Linked DNA regions of Xenopus tropicalis. The protein of the gene in region 3 purifies or fractionates together with the protein of the main gene of each other region. This does not show direct contact. Links are inferred from orthologs where the notes say so. Each region holds a gene or a part of one and is shown on either strand. Other genes may lie near its edges.

What was found.
Region 1: the proteins of psmg2 (region 3) and psmg4 purify together in Homo sapiens (affinity purification with mass spectrometry; 3 studies listed by BioGRID and IntAct, counting the BioPlex papers as one, with this or other methods). This does not show direct contact. The link is inferred for Xenopus tropicalis from reciprocal best matches to the Homo sapiens genes PSMG2 and PSMG4.
Region 2: the proteins of psmg2 (region 3) and psmb9 purify together in Homo sapiens (affinity purification with mass spectrometry; 3 studies listed by BioGRID and IntAct, counting the BioPlex papers as one, with this or other methods). This does not show direct contact. The link is inferred for Xenopus tropicalis from reciprocal best matches to the Homo sapiens genes PSMG2 and PSMB9.

The regions. Positions count from the first base shown.
Region 1 is NC_030682.2:87,664,598-87,671,662, forward strand, and holds the end of psmg4 (proteasome assembly chaperone 4), read right to left. Parts: intron 5,534-7,065; coding exon 5,458-5,533; intron 3,578-5,457; coding exon 3,456-3,577; 3' UTR 3,156-3,455; downstream 1-3,155. UniProt on the Homo sapiens protein: Chaperone protein which promotes assembly of the 20S proteasome.
Region 2 is NC_030684.2:73,271,398-73,278,930, forward strand, and holds the end of psmb9 (proteasome subunit beta type-9), read right to left. Parts: intron 5,255-7,533; coding exon 5,113-5,254; intron 3,354-5,112; coding exon 3,226-3,353; 3' UTR 3,156-3,225; downstream 1-3,155. UniProt on the Homo sapiens protein: The proteasome is a multicatalytic proteinase complex which is characterized by its ability to cleave peptides with Arg, Phe, Tyr, Leu, and Glu adjacent to the leaving group at neutral or slightly basic pH.
Region 3 is NC_030682.2:103,527,151-103,536,419, reverse strand, and holds the start of psmg2 (proteasome assembly chaperone 2), read left to right. Parts: upstream 1-4,344; 5' UTR 4,345-4,395; coding exon 4,396-4,443; intron 4,444-6,655; coding exon 6,656-6,827; intron 6,828-7,105; coding exon 7,106-7,164; intron 7,165-7,268; coding exon 7,269-7,387; intron 7,388-8,886; coding exon 8,887-9,060; intron 9,061-9,269. Other genes in the region: cep76 (centrosomal protein of 76 kDa), read right to left, coding at 177-258, 348-503. UniProt on the Homo sapiens protein: Chaperone protein which promotes assembly of the 20S proteasome as part of a heterodimer with PSMG1.

The DNA of each region.
Region 1 (7,065 bases), about 16 Mb from region 3:
GCAGGAAAGGGAACAGGTTGTCTGTCCATTGAGAATCTACTTGAAATCTATAAGAATTGCAATGGGGGTCAAATGATATGATCCTTTAAGAAAAAAATCCACTCTTAGGTTAAGAATAGCTTAAGAATGAACAAGTTTTGCTTAGCGCAGAAACAAAGCAATCAAATCATTGTACAACTGGTTTTGTTTTGTGATTTGGAGGGAGAGATCATTGGGATTGTACAGATGAAAATTAAATGTTTGTATTTTATTGAATGTTTCTAAATGTTGTAGAGCAAAACAGTAGGCTCACCAAACTGAAAGAAGTGCCATTAATTGATTGAGTGTTAACCGCATCTCTATTGGAGGGGCTGCAGTGCACTGTATCCCTTCTGTAAGAGATGAGGTTATAAAGCACCTTAAGAATTGTGTATTCAGAATTGTAGTGTGTGCTTTTGGGGAAATACTAGTCTGTGTTATCCATTGTGGAAAAAAAACTCACCATTCACACCGATTTCTGTTTATCGTATGAATAGCCGTAAATATCCTCTGTGCTGTAATTCTCAAGCAATCACCAATGGGTTTGTAGGCATTGTACTGTATTTTTACCAAACAACTACTACTGCTTGTATCATTGTTCATCTGATTTCCATAATTTAAAAGATTGGCCATCTCCTCCAATGTATAGTATACTGGGGAAGAAAGATGCTACTGCAAGGATGGTGGTCTGTTTCTGGAAGCATATACACTTACCTATGCTTCCGAGTACATGATGGAAACTCATATACATTGCATTTAAAGAACCTGTGTTTTCATGGTGCACTATAAACTGGAAGGTAATGATCTTTGGTGTACTTACTTGGTCTTGTGTTTCAATGGGCTAAGCAGTCTCTACACTGCTCTAGGGATATTGTGTCTGTTTTTTTATGTTACCTGTACATCAACAAAGGAAGGAAAGTGGTAATATTTTTAATTTTTTTTTTCCTTTTCAACAGTTGATGGCTTTATCTGCCAAAATTTTAAATAGGAAATTGTTTTTACTGTTTTTTTTTTAATTACTCATAAGAAGTAGTCTGGTGGTGCTCATCCATAGCACAAGCTTCAAATCAAGTACCGAAAATGTCTTAGAAGCTAAATGTGTGCATGTCATCTGGTTGTATCTGAGCAAAATACTTTGTACTGTATATGTACAGAAATAAAAACATAGAAACTGTCAAAAGGTGTATTTTTCTTGTGGTACTTGTAAGTTAGTGTCAAGCTTTTAGTGTTACAATAAATGGGTCAGGTAAGTAGAGGCTAAATACTGAACACATTGAGACATATTAAGCCATGTTAAAAAAAATAAATAAATAAATGGGAGTGAAACACACCAGACTTCACTGGCTGAATGCTGTGGATCGCCATGCAAAATCCAGTGTATTTATCCGGCTGCATAATGATTTTAGGCGACTGCAAAGCCCTGTTCAAAAATTGCTGTGCAAATTCTGCATTTGCAATTACAGCATTTTACACAGCTTCTTACACTGGAACTGATGTAGGCCGCTACCCCTTTAATGGCAGGCAAGCAGAGTTAGGTGAGGTCTGTCTCTTGTATCACACACACATACCATCTCCAAGTGACTTTTGTCACAGTCAGATTTGTGTTCATAATATGTAATTCAGCTCAGACTTTAAAGGAAGATGTTCATCTTCATCAGTATGTTATAGATGGACTGTTCAAATGACTTTTTCAATTGGCATTTTATGTGGTTTTTAAATCCTTAGGTTTCCTTTGATGCTTATTTCCAGGCTGCAATGATCAGGTTGTAGGGGATTGCTTACTCCTTCAACCTAAAAACAGATTATCTGTTAGGATTTAATTTTATTGTTTCTCTTATTTTTAGTTGCTGCTTTTTATTTTTTTATTATTATAGCCCTCTCCTATTGCTTTTCCTTTCTGACACCCAAACTGCAGACTGCAGTTAAGTAAGCACTAGCAACCAGACAGCAATTGAAAGTCAAAGCCTTAGGGGCACATTTACTAACCCACGAACGGGCCGAATGCGTCCGATTGCGTTTTTTTCGTAATGATTGGTAATTTTGCGATTTTTTCGGCGTCTTTACGATTTTTGCGTAAAAACGCGAGTTTTTCGGCGTCTTTACGATTTTTGCGTAAAAACGCGAGTTTTTTCGTAGCGTTAAAACTTGCGTGTAACGTCGCGCCTTTTAAGTTTTAACGCTACGAAAAAGGCGCGACTTTGCGCGCAAGTGTTAACGCTACGAAAAAAACGCGAGTTTGCGCAACTTTCGTAATGGCTACGAAAAACTCGCGTTTTTACGCAAAAATCGTAAAGACGCCGAAAAACTCGCGTTTTTACGCAAAAAACGTAAAGACGCCGAAAAAATCGCAAAAAATACGAAAAAGTCGCAAAATGTTCGTTTCCAATCAGAATTTTTCCAATTCGGATTCGAAATCGTGTCTTAGTAAATCAGCCCCTTAGAGTTGCAGAACTATAAAATATAAATGTTTTAAAATCCGGAAAAAAAAATGATTGCTCACCTGTACCATCACACTTATAACCTGTATTTACCGGTCCCTTGTTTTATAGTTAGATATATATGCAGTGAAGAAAGGGTGTGCACTGCAAAAGTGCTAACAAATTTTTTGGGTGAGCCATTCTTAACTTTTGTTCTCTTGCTTTGATTAAGTTCTTAAAGCATAAATGAGTGCTCGCATTTGTACAGAAACCCATAAACCCACAAGTCATGAGCAATGTGATCCAATGTTGACTGCCAATTGCAAAGGAAAGCTAATTTAGGACTTACCTCAGGGAAATAAAAAACTTTATAAAAATAACCAATCAAACCAATTCTGTACCGTTTCTGGAATAATGAAGCTACTCCTCATTATCCCCGTCTCTACAAACTGTCTCTCTATATGCAGCTTAGTGTTGGTTATTTAAAAAGATAGCTCTAAAACATCATCAAGGCAGAGCGAACACACCAATGTATCTGACCTTAATGTCAATTAAAATCTTACTCCATCCCCTGCAAATAGAGAAACATATTGCAGAGATGGAGTATTCTAGAAAGGGCAATTCATTTTTAGTATATTTTATTTGGGAAGTTCCTTTTTTTTATGACAAATTATTTTTTCACAATAATTCCCCTTTAAATAAGAAAGAAATACTCATTAATTACTAGTCATTTTTTTAATAAAATAGGTTTCTCTAGAAATACATTTGAAAAGGCAGTTTAACCTTCGTGTGTTAACAATGGATCTACTTAGCTGAGCAATCACATGACCCACTTTTGGTACATACAGTATGCCTTTGGAGGGAATGCTGTACTTCCCCTGCACTGCTTCTTAGCTATACATGGGACTGATCTTCAGGTCTCCTGTAATGGAATTCACGTGGAACCAACAGCACATTTCTGCGTGTATTAACTTCATCACAAAGTAAAGGAGTAAATCAGGTGCCTTTAAAATCAGACCATCAGAACTTCTCAGGAAAGGTGTCCATCTCCTGCCTGATGCGTTTCTCAATCAGTAGCATTAGCTGGCTTTCATTATTGGGGATGTTCACACTGGCAAACACTTGCTTTTTAGTCTTCTTTGCTGCAAGTTAAACACAATTTCATTTAACTTTGCTTCATTAAACACTCCAAAAGGATGACATGGGCTTCTTAATATGAAGTGCTTAATTAGTTTCTAAAGCTTTAGCTAATGGGCTAAATTAATAGGGATGACATGAGAAAATAAACATGAATGTATTTGCTGCTGCTTTCACCATGCTGCAGATTATTAGTGCATGTTCTGTAATTCATTCCTCCAACATTTGGGATGGAACACTTGCATTTATGTACTGATCACCTTCCATGCTAGATGCAATATTACCTGGTGTCTAATAGGGATATTTGTATCTGATATATCTTTTACATGTCAGGCTTTCTGCTTGATACCCAGCGCTGGTAGTGTCAAACAGCATCACAGGAAATATCCCATGACCTTTATTAAAGCCATAAATTACATATGACCCCTGTTTATCTTCCTGTATAAGAACTAAAATCCATTATTCTACAGAGCTTATCTGTTGTGTTTACATGACCCCTTTTGCCCTACTTAACTAGCTGCCCCATGGCTACAGAACAGCTCATTTATATAAAGGGTACTAGTGTTTCTAAAAGCAAATACACATTTTTTTCACCAGTGCAGGGTACCACCACATTATATTTAAATGCGTAGAAAATATTTATTTTTAAGTCAATCAACTCCCACCTGCCTGTCTTTTCTGTGTATGCCTGTCAAAACCAACCCTAGGCTTCTTTGCTGCCCCAGGCAAATGACTGGTAAGTCCCCATTGCTACAGTACATGTTGCTCTCAGATTCTTTCTCCTGGCCAACGTATTGCTGCCTAGTAACAAATCATGGACAAGTGGCTCTAGATCAGACACTAGGGAAATAAGGATAGGCCACCTATTAATCCTATCTCTGGGTCAAAAGTGCTGGGCTTTGCAGTGATTAATCGAAGATGCTTGTGAATGGTAAAAGAGCATATAAAAAAGAAAAATTCTTGGCAATACAGCTATGGGACCTGCTTGGGTCCAGGGGTTTTCTAATACCTTAAGTTTGCTGAAAAATAATTTAAACATTAAACTCATCAGGATTGTTTTGCCTCCAATAAGAATTAATTTTATCTTAGTTAGGATCAAGTACAAGGTACTGTTTTATTATTGCAGAGAAAAGGGAAATCATTTTTTAATATTTGAATTTTTGGCTTATAACGGAGTCTATTAGAGAGAGTTTTCCTAATTTGGAAGTTTCAGGACAACAGGTTTTTGAAACCAGATCCCATACCTGTACTCCATGTCATCCCTCAGTAGGAGTATCTGTATAAGACAACCTTTGCAGAAGGAATGGGAATTTGTGGATATGGAGTACATCCAGGAAAGTAAAATCATGCAAGTATAATATAATTTTCCCTATTCCCTGGACATACTCCATTTAATCACTTACAAGATATAGCATGCTCAATCCCAAACTGGGAGTAAAACTAACAGACTTCTGGATAATATTGCAATAACTGTAAACTATTCACTGTCACACTAACAAACTTCTAAGAATGTGCAGGAGACATCTCATGGGTTTGGCAAATCTCAAATCCAATCGGGAAAGAGCAACAAACAGCACTATGGGTAATTCTGCTGGGACCCAGATCTAGACAAAGGAGCTCAAACTAAGTGACACCAACCTGACCAATTCACATCCCTATGGTGAGAGGTGGGCAGTGCTTGACAAATAATGGGAAGCAACAGAAAGGCATGCTATCATGCTGGGAACAGTTATGCAGACACTCTAATATCCTGACTATCAGCCCCCATATTGGACTGTATGCCAACACATCAAGACAGCCGTAACCCATACCCTCTTATCTCAGCAAGACACAAAGACATGCTTGTCTATGCCAATACTTATGCAATGGGAATTTTAATACATACCTAATCGTTGTGCAAAAGAAGTTGACGTCATATCAGAGGTATCCCCAAGAACCAATGTAGATAAAGGGACTGAATCCTAAAAAAATATGATTAAAAAAGTATCTAATTATTTTTCTAAAATAGGCTTTTGATGTTATAATCAGATTTATACAGTATGCATATACATAACCCTAAATAAGTAACAAATGTAAGCTTTCGCTATACCACAAAGACTGCTGTTATGGCTTTCCTTTCTAGAAAATAAATCAGTAATAGAAGAAATATTAAATATGCTGCAATCACTGTATTTTTTTTTTTGCCTGTTTACCACTCACTAAAATTCACTTGCAGTGCTATTAGTCCTGGGAGATACTATCAGTTCAGGCAGCTGAATCCTTTGTCAGTGGGGTCAGGAAGCTGTAATCTTGTTACCGACCCATTATTCTGTTGCTCGGGGGTAGGGGGTTGATATCACTCCAACTTGCAGCGTAGCAGTAAACAGAGACTGAAGTTTATCAGAGCCAGTTAGGCTGGTAAGGGTGAAGACATATGGAGCGATTAGTTGCCATGATTTTTGAAAATCAATTGCATGATTAATCGCCACGGCTGTAACAGTTTGTCCCAAGCAGCATGTTGTACATGCACTGACTTCTCTATAAAATTCTAGAATTTTTTCCACAGGCATTTTTTTAATGCCACATTGCAACTCTGTAATTAGAGGCATAAAAACACCACATATAGCCTTTAAGGTTGCATTCTGACCTGAAAGTTGTCAGACAGCCAGAATGCTGCTGAGGAAAGTTGACCTTTTTAAAGCAAAAATACTCCTGATATACACACCTTTAAAACACTTTAAAGGGATTCTGTCACTGAAAACATGTTTTTTTTACAAAACGCATCAGTTAATAACACTTCTCCAACAGAATCCTGTATTGAAATCAGTTTTTCAAAAGAGCAAACAGATTTTTTTAAAATTTAACTTTGACATTTCACATTGGGCTAGCCCAGCAGTTCTCAACCTGTGGGTCGGGACCCCTTTGGGGGTCGAACAACCCTTTCACAGGGGTCGCCTGAGACCATCAGAAAACACATATTTCCGATGGTCTTAGGAATAATTTTATGGTTGGGGGTCACCACAACATGAAGAACTGTATTAAAGGGTTGCAGCATTAGGTAGGTTGAGAACCACTGGGCTAGCCATATTCTTCAATTCCCAGGTGTCCTCAGTCATGTGACCTGTGCTCTGATGAACTTCAGTCTCACTTTACTGCTGAGCTGCAAGTTGGAGAGATATCACCCCCTCCCAGCAACTGATCAGCAGAACAATGGGAAGGTAGCAAGATAGCAGCTCCCTGACACCTGTATTGCTAAAAGGGCTCCCATTGTGAGAATAGCACTCAATACTAAAAATCCAACTCCATCTCAGCAGTCATTTGTTATTTAATTACACAGAGCAGAAAAAACAATAGCTTATCTGAAATCAGTTTGAATGTGTAGCGCTGGCTCCTTCTGAAAGGCACAATACACTGAGATGGCTGCCTACACCCCAATAAAATGGTAGAATAAATTATTTACAATGTGAACAGTGTAATATAGTCATAAAAACTATTCCTTAAAAATAATGGCAGA
Region 2 (7,533 bases), on a different chromosome or scaffold from region 3:
GTCTCCTTTGAGATAATGCTGCAGAGACAGCTCTATAAGGGATTAACTAAAACATTCAATTTTAGACGTGCAGACTTTCCCAATATAAGGGCATCTCTGCAATGTGTCAACTGGGAAAGTATTATTTTAGGGTTATACACAGAAGGAAAATGGAACATCTTTAAAACATTGCTTAGCAGGTATACACAACAGTATATTCCCCTTGTAAGCAAGGAGAGGCATTGAAAAGCAAAACCTTTATGGTTGAATAAAAATATTAGTATCGGGGTTGGTAAGAAAAAACGTGCTTTTAAAACATTCAAGTTAGCTGGGACAGCAGAAACTTTCATCAGGTACAAGGAAGCAAATAAAGCATGCAAAAAAGCTATCAGGCAAGTTAAAATAGAGATTGAGATTGCAGGTAGAAGTAAAAATAATCCAAAATTATTTTTTAATTATGTGAATAGTGAAAAAATGAAGCAAGAAGGAGTGAGAACCTTATTATCACGGGGGGGTAAGTTGGTTGATGAGAACAGGGAAAAAGCAGAAATTTTGAACTCTTATTTTTCATCTGTGTATACATCTGAGGAGCCAGATAATGAAGGCTTCCCTTTTAATATGCCCAGTTCTAGTAATTTAGCTACTGATGCGTGGGTCACTCGGGAGGAAATTCAAAAGAGACTTTAACATGTAAAGGTAAACAAAGGTCCAGGACAAGTTGGTATTCATCCCAGGGTATTAAACAAGCTTAGCGCTGTGATTGCCAAGCCTCTTCACTTCATTCATTGGATTCATTGAGGTCTGGCATGGTGCTGAGAGACTGGCGAATTGCTAATGTGATGCCGTTATTTAAAAGGGGATCCCATTTTCAGCCTGAAAACTATAGACCTGTTAGTCTGACATCAGTAGTAGGGGTAATAAGAGATAGGGTACTTGAATACATTGCAGTTCACAATACTATAAGTTTGTGCCAGCATGGTTTTATGCGTAACAGATTTTAGTCGCCTTTTACGAGGAGGTGAGCAGAAACCTCAATGCTGGAATATCAGTTGATGTCATCTGTTTGGACTTTGCTAAAGCGTTTGATACAGTACCTCACAGAAGATTAATGATAAAATTGAGGAATATTGGCCTGGAGTACTGCAGAGGTCAGTCCTTGGTCCTTTGCTTTTTAAGTGAGCATAGAAAGTACTAATTCTATTTTTGCTGATGACACTAAATTGTGCAAAACTATAAGTTCCATGCAGGATGCTGCCACTTTGCAGAGCGACTTGACAAAATTGGAAAACTGGGCAGCAAACTGGAAAATGAGGTTCAAAATGTGCTGAAAAATTAACCCTTGGCTTATACTCGAGTCCCTCTGCTACCTGATTCCCTGTGCGCATTTCTACGCGCCGCTCCTTCCTGACTCCTTCCGCCCCCGGCGTGATGTCACACACTCCCTGCTTTAGCTCCAGTGTCTAATGGGGAGGGAGAGCCCTTAGAAGCAGGCAGGCACGGGAAAGTTCAAACTGGCCTGCGATTTATTACTTTGTGTGGCGAGTGGGGAGAGCTCTTTGAAGCAGGCAGGCAGGCAACGGAAAGTTCACAATGCAGGAGCGAGTGAGTGAGGGAGGGAGGGGGAGCTCCTTGAAGGAAACCGCAAGCTGAATGGAGGGGTGGTCCATTAGCAACACAGGTATTAATGAGTGATTCCTTCTCCATGTGACCCTGCTAGAGGAGGCAGTAGGGGGAGCCTGGCATCTCGCATACTCATTCCCTGCAGGAATTTGTTCAGTAAGATTGATAGATCCTAATTTTATTGGAATTTATTTTGATTATTGAAACTAAGCGGTAGCTGCTGCATTTCCCATCCTAGGCTTATACTCGAGTCAATAGGTTTTTCCAGTTTTCTTAGGTAAAATTAGGTACCTCGGCTTATATTTGGATCGGCTTATACTCGAGTATATACGGGTAAGTTACAAATGTTGCGAGCAACTAATACAATTAGAACTGAGAAACAGTTATAAGTGAACAGAATGCATTTATACATATAGTCTAACCCACTGCAAGAAAAGCACCAACTATTTCTGTGGCCAAGGTTTGGAAACAATGTGTTTATTAATGCCTACTAATTAATTACTAGCTAATTAGAGAATTAACTAGCTAATTAGAGAATTAACAGGTACAGGGATTGTGTGTTTTTTTAAGTTTCCTACCTATGATTTCATTATTATGATTTTAAATTAATGGTTATAAAGGTGTTTTTAAGTAGGTGTGCCACTCAAATGTGTTGTCTTTACTAATTATATTTCAATTTACTTACTACACAGTGAGCACCCAAAATTTACTATAGTGCAGGGTTTCCTTTATTTACAGAAAAAAATTGTTGTCACTCTTGGGGAATCTGTGCTAGATTTATATGCAACAATGGAGAAAGCACCACAGGGTCTGTTTCATCTAGTTACACCAATGATTCCAGTGTATTTTGTGGGGCTCCGCCTCCACTTCATTAGTGAATAGGAGCTTCAGTGTGTACAGCGTCTTAAAACCACAAGTACTTACCATGAATTGACCCCTGGAACCAGACACATATGTAGCTACAGCAGTAAAAGAGCACATGAGAAATCTTTGCGGTGCAAGTGGTTGCCCCAGCAACCACTGTAATTGTGTTACAAGTGCAACAGTGACAATAAATATATGAAAAAATTAATGAAAATTAAAATCAAGTTGAGTGTATACCCAGAGCAAAAGCTTTCCAACAACTCCGGTTGGGGTAAATAATACTATTTTGGTAATAAAATGCACAATGCACAATGTTTCCTGCCTGCACCAAGATGAAGCTGCAATGGAATAAACTGTTTTGGCATGTTGGGTATAAGAATAATTATGTAGTGTACTTTTGCACTATTTTGCAACTTCAACCTCATGTATATCTTAACTACGTATATGAAAGATATGATGTTGGGTCATATGGAACAAAGTTTAGCAGAAATATGGACATTGTGTTAGAATGGTCTAGGGTTACATGATATTGTTGCAGAAAAGTGTACTAAGGCTTAACATGGTAACTTTTGCACTCTATACCAATTATTATAGGAAGTAAGTGTTCAGTGTACAAATATTGTTTTTATATTTGTATCATGTAATGTGATAACAGTTAAAAGAGGAAGTTAAATATCACTATGCACAAGGGATGGATTTTTGATAGAGAGCACAAATTTATTGAATTAGTAGTAGTTGAGTAATCAGTTCCTGCACACTATGTTACAGATTATAAAAGCGAGGGATGTTGTCACCAGATATGATTCTGTTCTTAGTTCCTTCCTTGGTCACAGTTACTAAATATATAACTCCTCCACTTGAGCCATCTCTCTCCATTGCCAGGGATAGAGCTAAAATCAAAATATAAAACACACACCATATCAACAAATATGTTTGCACTGATCTGAAACAATGATTTATTCTCTCTTCCCATGCATTCCCTCTTTAATTCATTGGGATAAAGTGCCAAGTGCAACACCCAATGATAAAATCCTTACTCACCAAAACTTTAAAGGTAAGTACAGATCAACCAAATTTATGCTGAATCCATAAATTCTTCCTTCTGAAGAAGCACGGTCTGGCTAATGCCAGGCGTGGTGTTTGGCATATATTTTCGGCAAGCCAAAAATCGTTTGCTGAAAGTAATGCCATATGCCTCATACCTGTGCCTGCACCCGAATGAATAAAATACACTCGGGTTTTGGGATACCCGCCAAAAACCACAAGACTTCATATCTTCGGCGGATATTAACTACATGTGCCTGCACCCAAGCGTATTTCCTTCATTCGGGTGCAGGCACAGGTAGGAGGCGCATAACCCCACGTCTGGCATTAGCCTTAAAGTGATACTGACACCAAAAAAAATCTTATCAACATGTTAATCTACATTCAAACCTACCTATAGGTCATGTTGACTATTTTTTTCTGAAAGTTCTGGTTCTCTAAATAAATCCTATAGGAGATCCTGGACCCTACTGTCTGGCAACCTGACTGTAGCTTCTCAAGCTGCCTGTCAAAAGAGGAGCTAGCAGACGTCACAAACCCTCCCTTTTCACTTTCCCATACTTTGAGCCGGCATAAATAAACACGTGACCCTCACATCGGCAGTATAAGGAAGCTCCTCTCTGTTGCCTGCTTCAAGGTCCTCTCGGTTGCTTGCTTCAAGGTACTCTCCCCCCCCCTCCTCCTCGCACAATCAGATAGCAGACACAGATATTTCCGTTGCCTGCCTGCTTCAAAGAGCAGGCAGGCACACAGAGCAGGGACTTGAGCTAAGCCTTCATGTGAGATGAACTAAGGAGCACATGAAGGGAGAAAGGGCAGCACAGGTCGCCAGATTGGATGATTCCTCTAGGTTTTTTTTAATGAAGGCATGTAAAACGTAGCACTGAAGAGAAGAGAAAAAATGGCTGCCCTGTTGAGCTTTGGTTGATGCGTTCCTTATGGTAATGCAACTACTTGTTTGAAATTTTGTTTAGTTTTTTGAAATTTTTAAATTTGAAACAGTTTAGTATCTTAAAACAATAAAAACACCATGGCAGGTTTAAAAATAATAATGAACTAAAAAAAGTATATTGCGTGTCAGTATCGCTTTAAAGTTTTGGTGAGTAGGCAATTTTACCATTGGTTGACTGACCTGTCATCCTTGGTCTAACTTTTCTGAAGTGTCCCCAGCACATTTCAAGCACATTTCAAACACGTTTTTTAGAACATTAACATGGCACAGCATGTTTCTAATTAAATAATGGTACTGTACCATATTATCAATTTTGAGATTTCCTTCAGAGATAGGAGATAAGGCCTAGTGAAGGGCAGCTGCAATCAGGAATACCTAATATCAACTGAAGACTCCACAGTATTTGTGCTGAATGAACAAATTATTAGCTTTGTTTTGTATACTACAGGCAGAATAATAAAGGCAAATGCCTAATTGGTTGCTATGTTACTGTTCTTTGTGCAATGTATTAAATGATCAAACAAATTCAGACAGAATAAACCATCTCTGCCCTATTCCACTATTGCTAACAAAGCAACATGTCTAGATTTCTATTTCCTGCACAGTGGGTGAAGAAATGGCAAAGCAGAACCTTTTTTGTGTTTTTATCTCACCTTGAACTGCAAATGTTTCACATTCTTCTCTAGACATCCCAGGCTTAAATGTAGAGTCCACAAAACCATAAATATATGTACTGCCGGACCCACCTATTGCGAAAGGCTGTCGTGTTATCATTCCTCCAAGAGTTCCATAAACCTGAACAGAGAGACAGACTGATCTTACAGACAGGGCTGCTTTTCTTTAACTGCTAGTATTAACTGTACATGTTTTTCAGATGAATTTTTAAGGGGTGAAAATGAGAAAATACTATATAAAGGTATAGGGATTAAATTGTTGTGTAATTTGAAATAAGTTAGTTCTATTAGTAGCTCACTGCACTCGTAATTTTCTTCTGAAGTGTACTTACAGGTACAGGTTACTCTTACCAACTCACCTGAAAGTTCAGGAACTCTTCTAAAAAAATGCACTGGTTGCATTTAAATTAAATTGCAATCAGTGCAACCCTTCTAGTTGGATTTTCTCCTAGTTTTTCATGTGATCTGATAACTTTAGGAAAACATAGGTGTCACTTGAGTTTCCCAAAGTAGCTTTTACACAGGGCTGGAACTAGAAGTAGACAGGAGAGGCAGGTGCCTTAGACAGGGCCACACAATTTTGCCGGGCCCTGTAAAAAATCTTTTGTTAAGGGGCCTGGTCGTGTCACGAAAGTTAAAAAAATTGCGACGTTATGCATAGAGTTACACCTTAACGTACTTAATTAACATATCTTCAGCAAAAACGCCTTAGTAAACGATGTAACTTGCCTAGAAACTTAAGTAACTTGCGTATCAAGTAAAAGACAACACAGAGAAGCTTTTCAGGGACAAACTCCACTGACTCCTGAAGAATTAAAAAACTTAAGGTAAATTACACTGCCCCCAGTGAACTGACTGACTTATTAGCATATTAATTATTAATTTTAACTATTTATATGAAGTGCTTATTACAGTGAAACATCAGCTGTTTATATTGGGTTCTATTTACTGAATTATATTAGCGTCTTCTACATGAACTTTCCAGCAAGGAAATGACTGGTTATTGGCCCCTACATGAACATCACTGGGCCCCGACGCTTACGCAATTTACCAGCTTGCAAAAACTTACGTTACTTTCAAAGAAACTTACGTGTAAACTCAACTGAACCCCCAATTAAAATACTGACTTAGGGCCCCTAAACTTATGCAGTTTATGTAACTTGTGCAAAAAAATTACATAACTTCCATATCAAGCAATGACAGCACAGAGCAGGGGCACATAGGTGGTAAGGGGTTAAACTAAGGGCAAACTCTACTGACCCCCAATAAACTGAATGACTTATTAGCACATTAGTCAATGGAAGGCTTGTGTTAATTAGCGCATATATAAACTTGTGAGGGGCCCCAAAGTTTCTGATGACGGCCCTGGCCTAGGGCACAATAGTAGTGGTGATGATAAGTTCTGGGCATTTACTCCTTTGGCCAGTTTGAAGTCCTGGGGTTTAACCAGTCTAAAGGCCCCCCATGCAAAACTGGGATTCAGCATTCGAGTGCTTGCAGGCTCGGGGGATGCATGAGACAGTGTGCACACATGCATGCGAGTGAGAGGAGAGGAGCAGGAGGTGCGGGTCTTTGCTTTGGTGGCTCACAAACCCTGGGCCTGCTGCTGCATTTATATTATTGCCAGTAAGAAAGCATTTGCACGAGAATCCAAACATGTGCCATATGCCTAAGTCATCATGCCACCTAAAGCCAAATTGCCAAGTCGGCACGATAAAGTCGGATTTTTTCTTACTTCTAAGTAATTTCAAAATTTTCAAGTGGGTTTTCACCAGAACTCGATTTTTTTGTTATTTTTCCCAGAAAAATTAGTTTTCTGAAAATAACTCCCATAATTTGTGATTTATTAATGTTTAGTTAACTTTTTTTTGTAAAATGAAAATTCGACAGGTTTGATCTGTTGAGTACCATTGAGTCCAATGGAGGCTTAGAATAGTAGAGGAATAGAATAGTCATTGACAGCCTGTCCTTCAAGGACAAATTAATACCCCTCATTGTTTTCAGTTTCACCCAGTTCAAGGGGAACTTAATCCCCTCATTTTTTTCTGTTTCACCCAGTGCAAGGGGAACTTAATCCTCTCATTGTTTTCAGTTTCACCCAGTTCAAGGGGAACTTAACCCCCTCATTGTTTTCAGTTTCACCCAGTTTAAAGTAAAACTTTAACACATTATTGTTTTCAAGGAGTGCCAGTGTTTCTAAAATGGCTGCTAGAGCAATTCCTGTTTGGGAAAAAAAAGAGGATTCATGGAAACGAATGTCTGTTTAAACTCAAATTTTTCGAGTATTAACAAAACTAGAAAAATTTGGGACTTTCAAATGTAAACTTGAAATTTTTGTTCAAACGATTCAAGCATTATTATGACATTTTATTATACAGCAATATTTATACCATGTCGAGT
Region 3 (9,269 bases):
CAGCAAATTAGTTAAATAAACAAATCAGAAAAAAATGACAGGAAGCTGCTGCCCCACTCTTCTGGATCTACAGCTACCACATGAGTCAAGCCGGGGTATTTTCAGAGACACCGAGAACTGCAATATGCAGCCTGTACCTGTACAAAACCTGTATACTATAAATACGACTAGCTTACTTTTTTTTAGTGTTCTTGGTTCTTTGTCAATAAAATGTGTGGCTGGCTTTGGTGTAGATGTTAATTCCCTGGTATCCCTGTCCTAAATTAAATAAAACAAATATTACATTAGGAAGTGCATTTCATGAATCTAATAAAAGCACACATTTTTTAACACCCTCCCTAACTCACCTCCATAAAATGAAGTTCCTTCATGACTTCATCAACAATACCTCGCTGCCTTAAGGCTTTCATCAGATCTTCCTCCGATAACTGCTGGCTTTCTGTCCTAAATTCTTCTCTTAACGATTCTGCCAAGACTTCTCGTATTTTGCCGTGCACATCCATCTACAACCACCAAAATGATCAATGATCTTAATTATGTTGTATGCTGTATCGGCACTGTTTTTTTTATTTCCCATTACACTAAAGTTTTATCAAGATATTCACCAGCTTTTAGGATACATATATTTGTATTTTTTTTAAAGGCAAAATATGATACATGCTGGCCTATACTGTTTAAGACTCAGAATTAATGTTTAATATGTTCTTCAATCACAACATATGTAAATAACCAGTAGATGTAGTAAAACTAATGTTTTCAGTTTCAGCAATATAGTGTGTCAGATCCTTTCAAACTAGTCCTTACACATACTTTCACATACAGAGAGACAGAGAGCTGTGATACCAAAACCAAAAAAAAAAAAAAAAAAAAACATTGTCACTGGCTGGAGCATGCTCTCTGCATTGCCGTGTATATTTGTATATACATAGTGTAACCCTGAACTGTCTAATAATTTTAATTCTCTGCTGTGTACTTAGCTTTGCTGGTGATCAAGAGATCTTCTAAGAACAACAAGATACTTCTAGTCAAGTACAGAATTTGTCACTTCTAAGATGGCCAAAAATTAGCATGTATCCTTAAGAAGAACCCCAATTTTATGTCCACTAATTTTGTTTTCCTGGAATTTAAACCATTTTTATTTTTTGGAAAATAAAAAATCTGGGTTGTACTGTATATGCAACACTCATTGGGGGGCACATTTCAAGAAGACTTGTGCAACCTTGATGGTCATTTTAGCACTAAATGTGGCTTTTAAAGGGAAAATATACCTTCTTTTTTGTAATGGTCCACTTCAGTTGTGATTATGTAGAAAAGATGCATAAACATTTTCTAAAATTCCATAAATATAAAATGTATTTTTTTTCACATAGAAATACCAGATTCCACAGACTGAAATGCAAACACTGTGACAGGGACCACAGGTTCACAGTCTACTGAAACTACTCACTCACCATGTTCCATTGTGATGCAATAGATTATGGGACTTGATGTTCCCCTGCTTTCCATAGTGGGTGATGCACAGTTCTATGGAAAGCAGAAAGACTTCAAGTCCCAGACTCCATAAATCACAATGGAACAAGGTGAGGAAAGGGTTGCATTACACCGTCACCACAAAGGAGGTTGGTTTGCAATTGGTCACCGTTTTAACAGACAATCATAGTTTCCTGTGAAATTATGTATGTCTGTGTAAAGGTGGCCACACACATGGCGATCTGCGATCTTTTGTGCGAAAGATCGTCAGACCCGCCACTAACCTTCAGGGCTGAAACGGCAGATAAGGAGGTAGAAACAATAGGATTTCTACCTCCTTCTGCCGATTCAGCCCTGACGGCAGATTTTGCTCAGGCGCCTTCTATGGTGCCCGTAAAAAAGAAAATAGAAGTTTAGATAACAAGTCTCTAAAGGCCGCTCAATGACATGTTCCTTAGCTTTTCTTTGCAGTGAAAATCAAAACCAAATAGGTTTTATTTAATGTGGCTAAGCACAAAAGAAACAGCTAGTTTAGTAGCACCATTAGAATAAAGGAGTAAAAGTTGGGTCTTATCCAAGTTGCCACTGTGTCATAATGGCCTTTAGGCTAGAGGGACATGGCCATTCCTTATACAACTTTCAATTTGGATCTCAATGTAAGAGGGGGAAGAAGACTGCGCTCCTACAAAATTAAACACATGAGTGACCGTGATGGGGCTCAAAAGGCCTGACCTGTTTGGGGCTACAAACCCTTAATTATAGGCTTCCAACTCGGATTGCTTTTGCAGGCAAAGCGTTAAAAGGGTACTCTGGACTTATCACTTAAAACGTTAGTGGCTGGTGTAAATTAGAGGGTTGCCTTTAATCTAAGTAGCAATCATAGCCACAACAGGTGTACATACTGTCAATAAACCATCGGTGCAAAGCTCAATATGCTTGGCTTCTGAGTTTCCACAAAAAGTAAGTAAAGCCTGTAGCATGAGTAACAGTGAAGAGAAGACATTGGCAGACTAGCAGTGTAAATACACCACTGAAACAAAGCAGCAATCTTTATAGGAGTTTGTCTTACTGACTGGGGGCAAAGGACTGCAATAGTACAACTATGTATAACTGCCTCTCATATTAAAAAAGAAAAATGTGATCCCCTACAGGAATCACAGCTTTATACAAATGTCAACCATTCCATAACTACAACTCCCTTAATATTCTGACAACTTCGCTGACCTCCGCGTCTATTAGAACCTGGTATGGTTTCTTACACGGGTCAGCTGTTCGTGGATGATTTGTTTGAGTTCGGTGGCTTTCTCCGGAGGCAGTGCCATGCTGGCTGTGTGAGGACTAAACTACAGAATGATGTATTCACCAAGGGGAGACACCGTCCCACATACAGTCCGTACGTCCGCGTGTCACATTCCTTTCTTTCTCTACTTCCAAGCTCTTCAGGCACAAGGGAACAGACTCTGCCTCAGGTTCTGCTCTACCCGCTCCTTTCCATCTGTATCACGATACGCTACGTACTCACTCTCATACCTCCCTCAAGCAGTCACCCAATAACAACCTAATTACTGTTGCCATCTATTTCCCCGCCCTCAAGGTGGCGGGATACACCGCGGGAAGCCTTCTTTAGCGCTGTCTTTGTTATCAGGCATCGGAGCAGTCAGCCAAAGTACAAAAGCGAAGGCCCCACCGAGGTCCGGCACTAGTGACGCGCAAATTGCGCGCCCGGGTTGAATGTAAAAGTGAAAGATACAGTGCGCCGTCATGTTCGTACCCATAGGCTCTGAGCAGGATTTCCCGAGTGATTATACGCTGCTGCTGGTATGTATGGCTATCGCACTGGCAGGCTAAACGTCTTGGGCACACTCATAGTAACATAAGGGGCTATAACCACTTCTAGTGACAGCTGTGGGAAGGCTCACTCCTGACTGGTCCAGTATCATTTGTCTTTCTCTAAATGTAAAGCTATAAGAATAAGAGAATGTAGTTTGGTTTTTAATATGTGTGTTTATGCTGCAATACTTTAGGGTATGATGATATACTACTACACAGCTCAGGGTGACTGTATCATTTGTAGAAAGAAGTGTTTGCAGGAATCTATGACCTGCAAACAGCATTTGTTCTAGGGATAGAATTGCTACCTAGCAACAACTAATGGGGGTTTTTCAGCAGCCTCCCAAAAATAAGCTGGAAACATTTATTTTGCCACTACAGCCACGTTTCTGCTGTCCCCTTGTGACGTGCTTGTGCCTTTAATATGTGGGAGCAAGCACAGGTCTGCTCAGTGCTGATTGGACAGCATAGAGCAGGGAGGAGAGTAGCTGAAATTAGATTTATTACTGGAAGTCTGCTGGATAATAGTCTTAAAAATAAGGGAATGTCATTGAAAGGAGCAGAGATTTAAAAAGATGAAGATGCAGTTCAAGTTGTAATTGTCTTATATATGGACTAAGAATAAAAGGAGTAATAAACGAGGCTATAGTACCTTGAGCATTAGAAGAAAGTTATCTGTCCTGCAAACTCACTCAGGAAGATAATTGATTACTCGGTTTTCTTAAGCCACTGACATCTGCGTCACACTCCTGGGAATCATTGTCTGTAGAGACAGACCTCCTACAGGGTGCAGGGTTCCCACTAGAGCAGCCCAAACGGGCCTCTTTACTGGGAGTGGAACCATGAGACACGTTTAGTTTAACTTCAAATGGAGAAGAGATACCTCCTTGTTTAATCTTAGGAGTATCCATGTGGGACTGAACCCTGACTGAACCCTTCCTGGGGCAGTCAAATGAGGAGGAAAGAAAGCAGTGTCTAACGTCACTCTTTTTTTTCAGAACAAATAAAAAATGTCTCTCCTCATGTTTAAAATATAAAGGAGATTACACACTCCATTTTGTGTGGTATTTGGAAGGAAACTAAGGTGGAAACATCATGGAGTCTGTAGCAGATAAAGAAACTGCATCCTCCATAAACGCTGAGGTAAAAATCTAATTTTCCCATTCAGCTACTCCCCTTCCTGCTCTGTACTGTTTAAACAGCACTTAACAGACCTGTGCTTGCTCCCACATATTAAAGGTACAAGCACGTCACAAGGGGAAAGCAGAAACGTGGCTGTAGTGGTAAAATACATTTTTCCAGTGTATGTTCAAGAGGCTGCCCCAAACCCCATTAGCTGATGCTAGGTGGCAATCTCCCGTAGAACAAATTAAAGTGTTACATTTTAACCTGCCTTAAGACACTAGGGCTTATTTACCTACATAAGTGCTAAATTACAAAAGTACACTTGGCCATGGCTATCAAACAGCTTTGATAAGTCTATTACCATTCTGAAACGAAAGCAAATATCTGATCGGATGCTAAAGGCAACTATCCTGTTGCAATTTAGGACACATCTATGGAATTTAGCCTCCCCTGTGTTAGGTCTGATGCACAAAGATGACTTCTTACAGGGAAACTAAAGCAAAGCTCACTTAAAACTTAATTACTTAGTCATAACATATCTGCATTGTTTAGCATACTCATGCCATGCACTGAAACATTTTTACTGGTCAGAAGTATGCAGAACTAGATTTTTAGTAATGTAGATAAGAATGTTATAGAAATTTATAACAGGGATTGTTGGTTTACAGCTACACATTCCTTATATGTCAGTGGAAAAAAAAAGCTGTCCTTTGTCCTATCACAATAGGCTGTGTTTGTGGGGAGTTTTGCATTTGCACTAGAGAGTGAGGGTCTTAAGGTGGCCATACATGGTGTAGGGACCCCAAAGAATTGGGCCCCTCCAGGATTAGTTCCCCTTTAGACAGGCACCATGAGGGTGGCCTTATGAGATTTGGACACCTAAAGGTGGTCCTGGGTGTTTATGTGTGAAAAGGGAGTTTCCCTGCAAGTTAACAGCCACCACTAGATGTCGCTGTGCTAAAAGTATAAAAGTGAATGACTCCCAGTTTCAGCAGGTCTTCGTCCTGGGACTGCTTCTTGTAAAGAAGCGTATAACAGGCTTGTGTTCTAGTACAGGAGGTACTGTAACAGGTCACTCTAGGCGTGACAGGCAGGCTAGAGAGAACGGGCAGTGATAGCCCTGACAGGAGAGAGAGGGGTTAAGACCCCCCAGCACTCATGGCTGGAGTTCAGGTCCTGTAGTGTGTAGTAAGAGGAGCCAAGTCAGCACCTGGGAGTGTTCCCAGTGAAGGGGCCCTACGCGTGGACCGTGGACGCGTGAGTTCCTAGGTGGAAGCATCCGGCGGGAGTACCGGGGGTAGCCCAAAGAGAGAGTGTGTGACTTGAGCCGTCTGTGTGACATCCTCTGAAGTGTTCTGCCTGCATCAATAAACAAGTTCATCTGGTTCACCATTTTAACCAGTGTCTTGGTGGTTCATATACTGAGGATCCTCAACTGCCTGGTAAGCAGCTACCCCAAGGGAGGGGCAATGTACCGGGAGTTGCTGGGAGTCCGGGTCCAAGGAGGACCTCATAGAGTTTTCCCAGGGAGGATACATATAGTTCTACCTATACCTACCCTGGGTGGAGGCACGCCATTCATTTATATTACACCTGTCCCCCATAATAAGCGGGGGCTCAGGGCTCCTGTAGCGCCACACGCAGGTGATTGCGTGTTAAAAGTACAACCGTAGCCAAAATAGGGTTACAATGGTAAGATCCGCTCGCTTGGCCCTGGGACCAAACAATCAAATTAGAACGGTATAGGTGCTGTCAGTTCAGGGACCGCATTACCGAGCCTATGCGGTCCCTTATCCAATGGAAAAATTAAGCCTGCCTGATTGAGACCTGCCCGATATCAGGGCAGATGACGGTTGGGCAGGCCCGTCCTTTATGTCCATACATGGTATTTTAGCATTGCTCAAAATTTTATGCAAAATCCAAAAAGTATGGATTTGTACATCCCTACTTTAGAACTACTGAAAAGTTTGAATTAATGTGTGTTTGAAAATTGGTTTGCAAAGCATTTATTTATGCAAATTCTTTTTTTTTCGTGGATGTCCTTTAATTAGTATAGATTAGTAAAAGCAAATGCCTGAGCAGTTTCACTTACAGTGATGAAGTTACACTTCCATGCAAGACACAGGGCAATTTAATAAATATATGTTGTGCAGTAATATTTCTACTAAGTCTTTTTGATAATGATTTCTTAAACATAACTATTGTTTTTTTTCTGTTCCCTTTGTTTTAGCCAGCCATATCAGTTGGAAATGTTGGGCAATTAGCCATTGATTTGATTATTTCAACTTTGAAAATACCAAAAGTGGGGTATTTTTACACAGATTGCCTTGTACCTATGGTTGGAAGCAATCCATATGAAACTGACGAAGAGAATGCAAAGGAACTCTGCACAAACGCTGAAGGTATTTAAAATAATTTCAGTGGAAGAAGTAGGTATTTAATTTAATGTTAGTTATTTGTAGTGGGAGTAGTAGGTACTTGCCTGTGTGGATGGTGTTTGGCTAAAGAAGATTTTTAGTTGCAGAGATTAGACAGAAATTTCTATATTTTGTACCCCAGCCACAGTAGTCTTGGTCATTTGACTATAGCTGAAGAATGGTTGAAGCTGTAGTTCAGCATAAACATGAGACACACAGCAAAGAAGCTTTTCTAACTTGCTCTTATGTTTTTTTTTTTTTAGTGTATGCATTGCCATCCCAGAAACTTGCAGTTCTCCAGCTAAGATCACTTGTTATAAAGGTAAGAATGTTATTAGAAAACTGTTAAATGCAGACTGATTGTACACCGTGAAGTTATACCCTATGGAAAGGCATGTTATAACTAAATCTTTTTTGTATTTAAAGAAAAAATCCAAATCCTTTCGGCAAGCCCTGGTTTCCTGGATTAAAAGATGTGCTTTTGCCAGAGTGATTCTTCTCTCAAGTTGCCATGCTTATCACAGAGATGATACACAGCTTTTTGGGTATGTTATCAGTGTTGTCACCCAGAGTAATTGCAATTGCTTACATGATACCCAAGGCCAATGTACTATCCTGGGGTATTTCTGTAGGAGCTTCTACAGAAATACCCTGGGCTGGTGCAGTTTTTAGCAAGCACTGGCCTTAAATGTTGGCACCCTCCCAATGAATATACTTTTACTTCTTCTTTAAAGCCCTTGTTAGCTTTTTAATTTGCTGGATAATTAATTTTTACCATTGACTTAAAGTATCTTCTGTTTCTGATATCTTTTAAGAAAAATAAAAATCTGGCTGCACTTTTGCTCCCTTTTCACTGAAGAGTTTGGAACAGTATACTATATTATACTGAACTTTTTTAGTCTTTGTAAACATGGCCCTATACTACTAGCCAGGCCCTTTGGGTATTGGGCCCTGCCAAATAAGAAGAATTGGGTCCTGTGTTTAAGAAAAAAAACCAAACAAAATTGCACATATAAAGAAGTCTTACTATGCTCGTAATCTGCACCCAACACCCAAACCCACACAATATGGCTGCCTTTTTTATAACATAATACATTAGGGAAGTGCTGAGAAAATATTGATTCACTTACATTAAAAAAAACCAAGCAATAGCATTTTTATATATTCTGAATCAGTGCTCTGGTTCTGACTTATTCAGATGCAGGCCATGTTTCTAAATGCATTAAAGGAGAAGGAAAGGCTAGTAAAGAGAAAAATATGGATTGGATACGATAATTTCTGAAGATCGCAAATATCACGAAAATGCTTACGAAAAAATCGTATTAGTCACGATAATATCGTATTGGCGATCCCAAAGTCAAGAAATTTTCATACCAAACAATTGTAAACAGTGGCAGAAGCTTTCCGAATTTTTCGCGCTAGTGCGAAAAAAATCGGCGAAAATACGCTCGGAGTGTTCGAATGAACGTTCGTTTCTTAATAAATCTCCCCCTTAGGAGTCAGCTTCCTGCTGTTTGGCTCAGATCCACATTCCTAAGGGGGGGGGGGAGTGAGTTCTTGAAGGAGGGGGGAGCAGGAGAGAGCAGAAAGCTGCGTGTCTGTGGCACAGGAATTAGACACAAGAAATATGTTTTCAGAGAAGTCAGTGCAGCGTTTGAGTGCTTATGGCTGTATTTACATAGACCTTTCTGATAAAGCTTACTTAGTTTTTACCTTTCTTTCTCCTTTATTTACAGAATGTAGATCGTGTAACAGAATTTATGAGTAGAAGTATTATTTAATAAATTATGCTGTAGGAGTAGTAACTTATATTTTAGAGCTAATATTTTTATATAAAGGCTAACAGCCCACAAGCGTTTTGGCTGCCATTACAACAGAAGCATTCAATACTTTTGTCAGCCTGTGTGCATCCAATACAGTGCTTTTCTTTCACAAAGAATGATGACTGGAGCGATTTAACTAGAGCTGAGCTCTACCAGATGGCAGTGGCGATATTGTTCCCTGTATGCCATAGCCCTTATGGTATGTAACTTGTCTTTTGCAGAACACCATTCCGTTACTTGGTCACTCCAGCTTTACAGAAATCTGTGGCAGATGTGCTAAAAGAACTGGAATGGAAGGAAATGGAAAAGGTGTCTTCTTACCCAGGGCTGAACGATAACGAGAAAAGGGTTTTCATTCCAGGAGGAGGTTTTACAAAGCGATTTTATGATGATTGGTGGGTAGTTCATTCAGTTTGAAGTTTCTCATGCTTATTGAAAATAGAAAGGAGATTTTGTGATATTTGCAGTTAAATCCTTTTCTCTCAGGACATCTGGAGTATAGTATCTACCAGCAGGAGGCAGGACACTGGAAGTGGAAAAATACTTCCACTTCTAGTTTCCTGCCTCCTGACAGAAAAGGATTTGATGGTGAGTATCGCAAAAT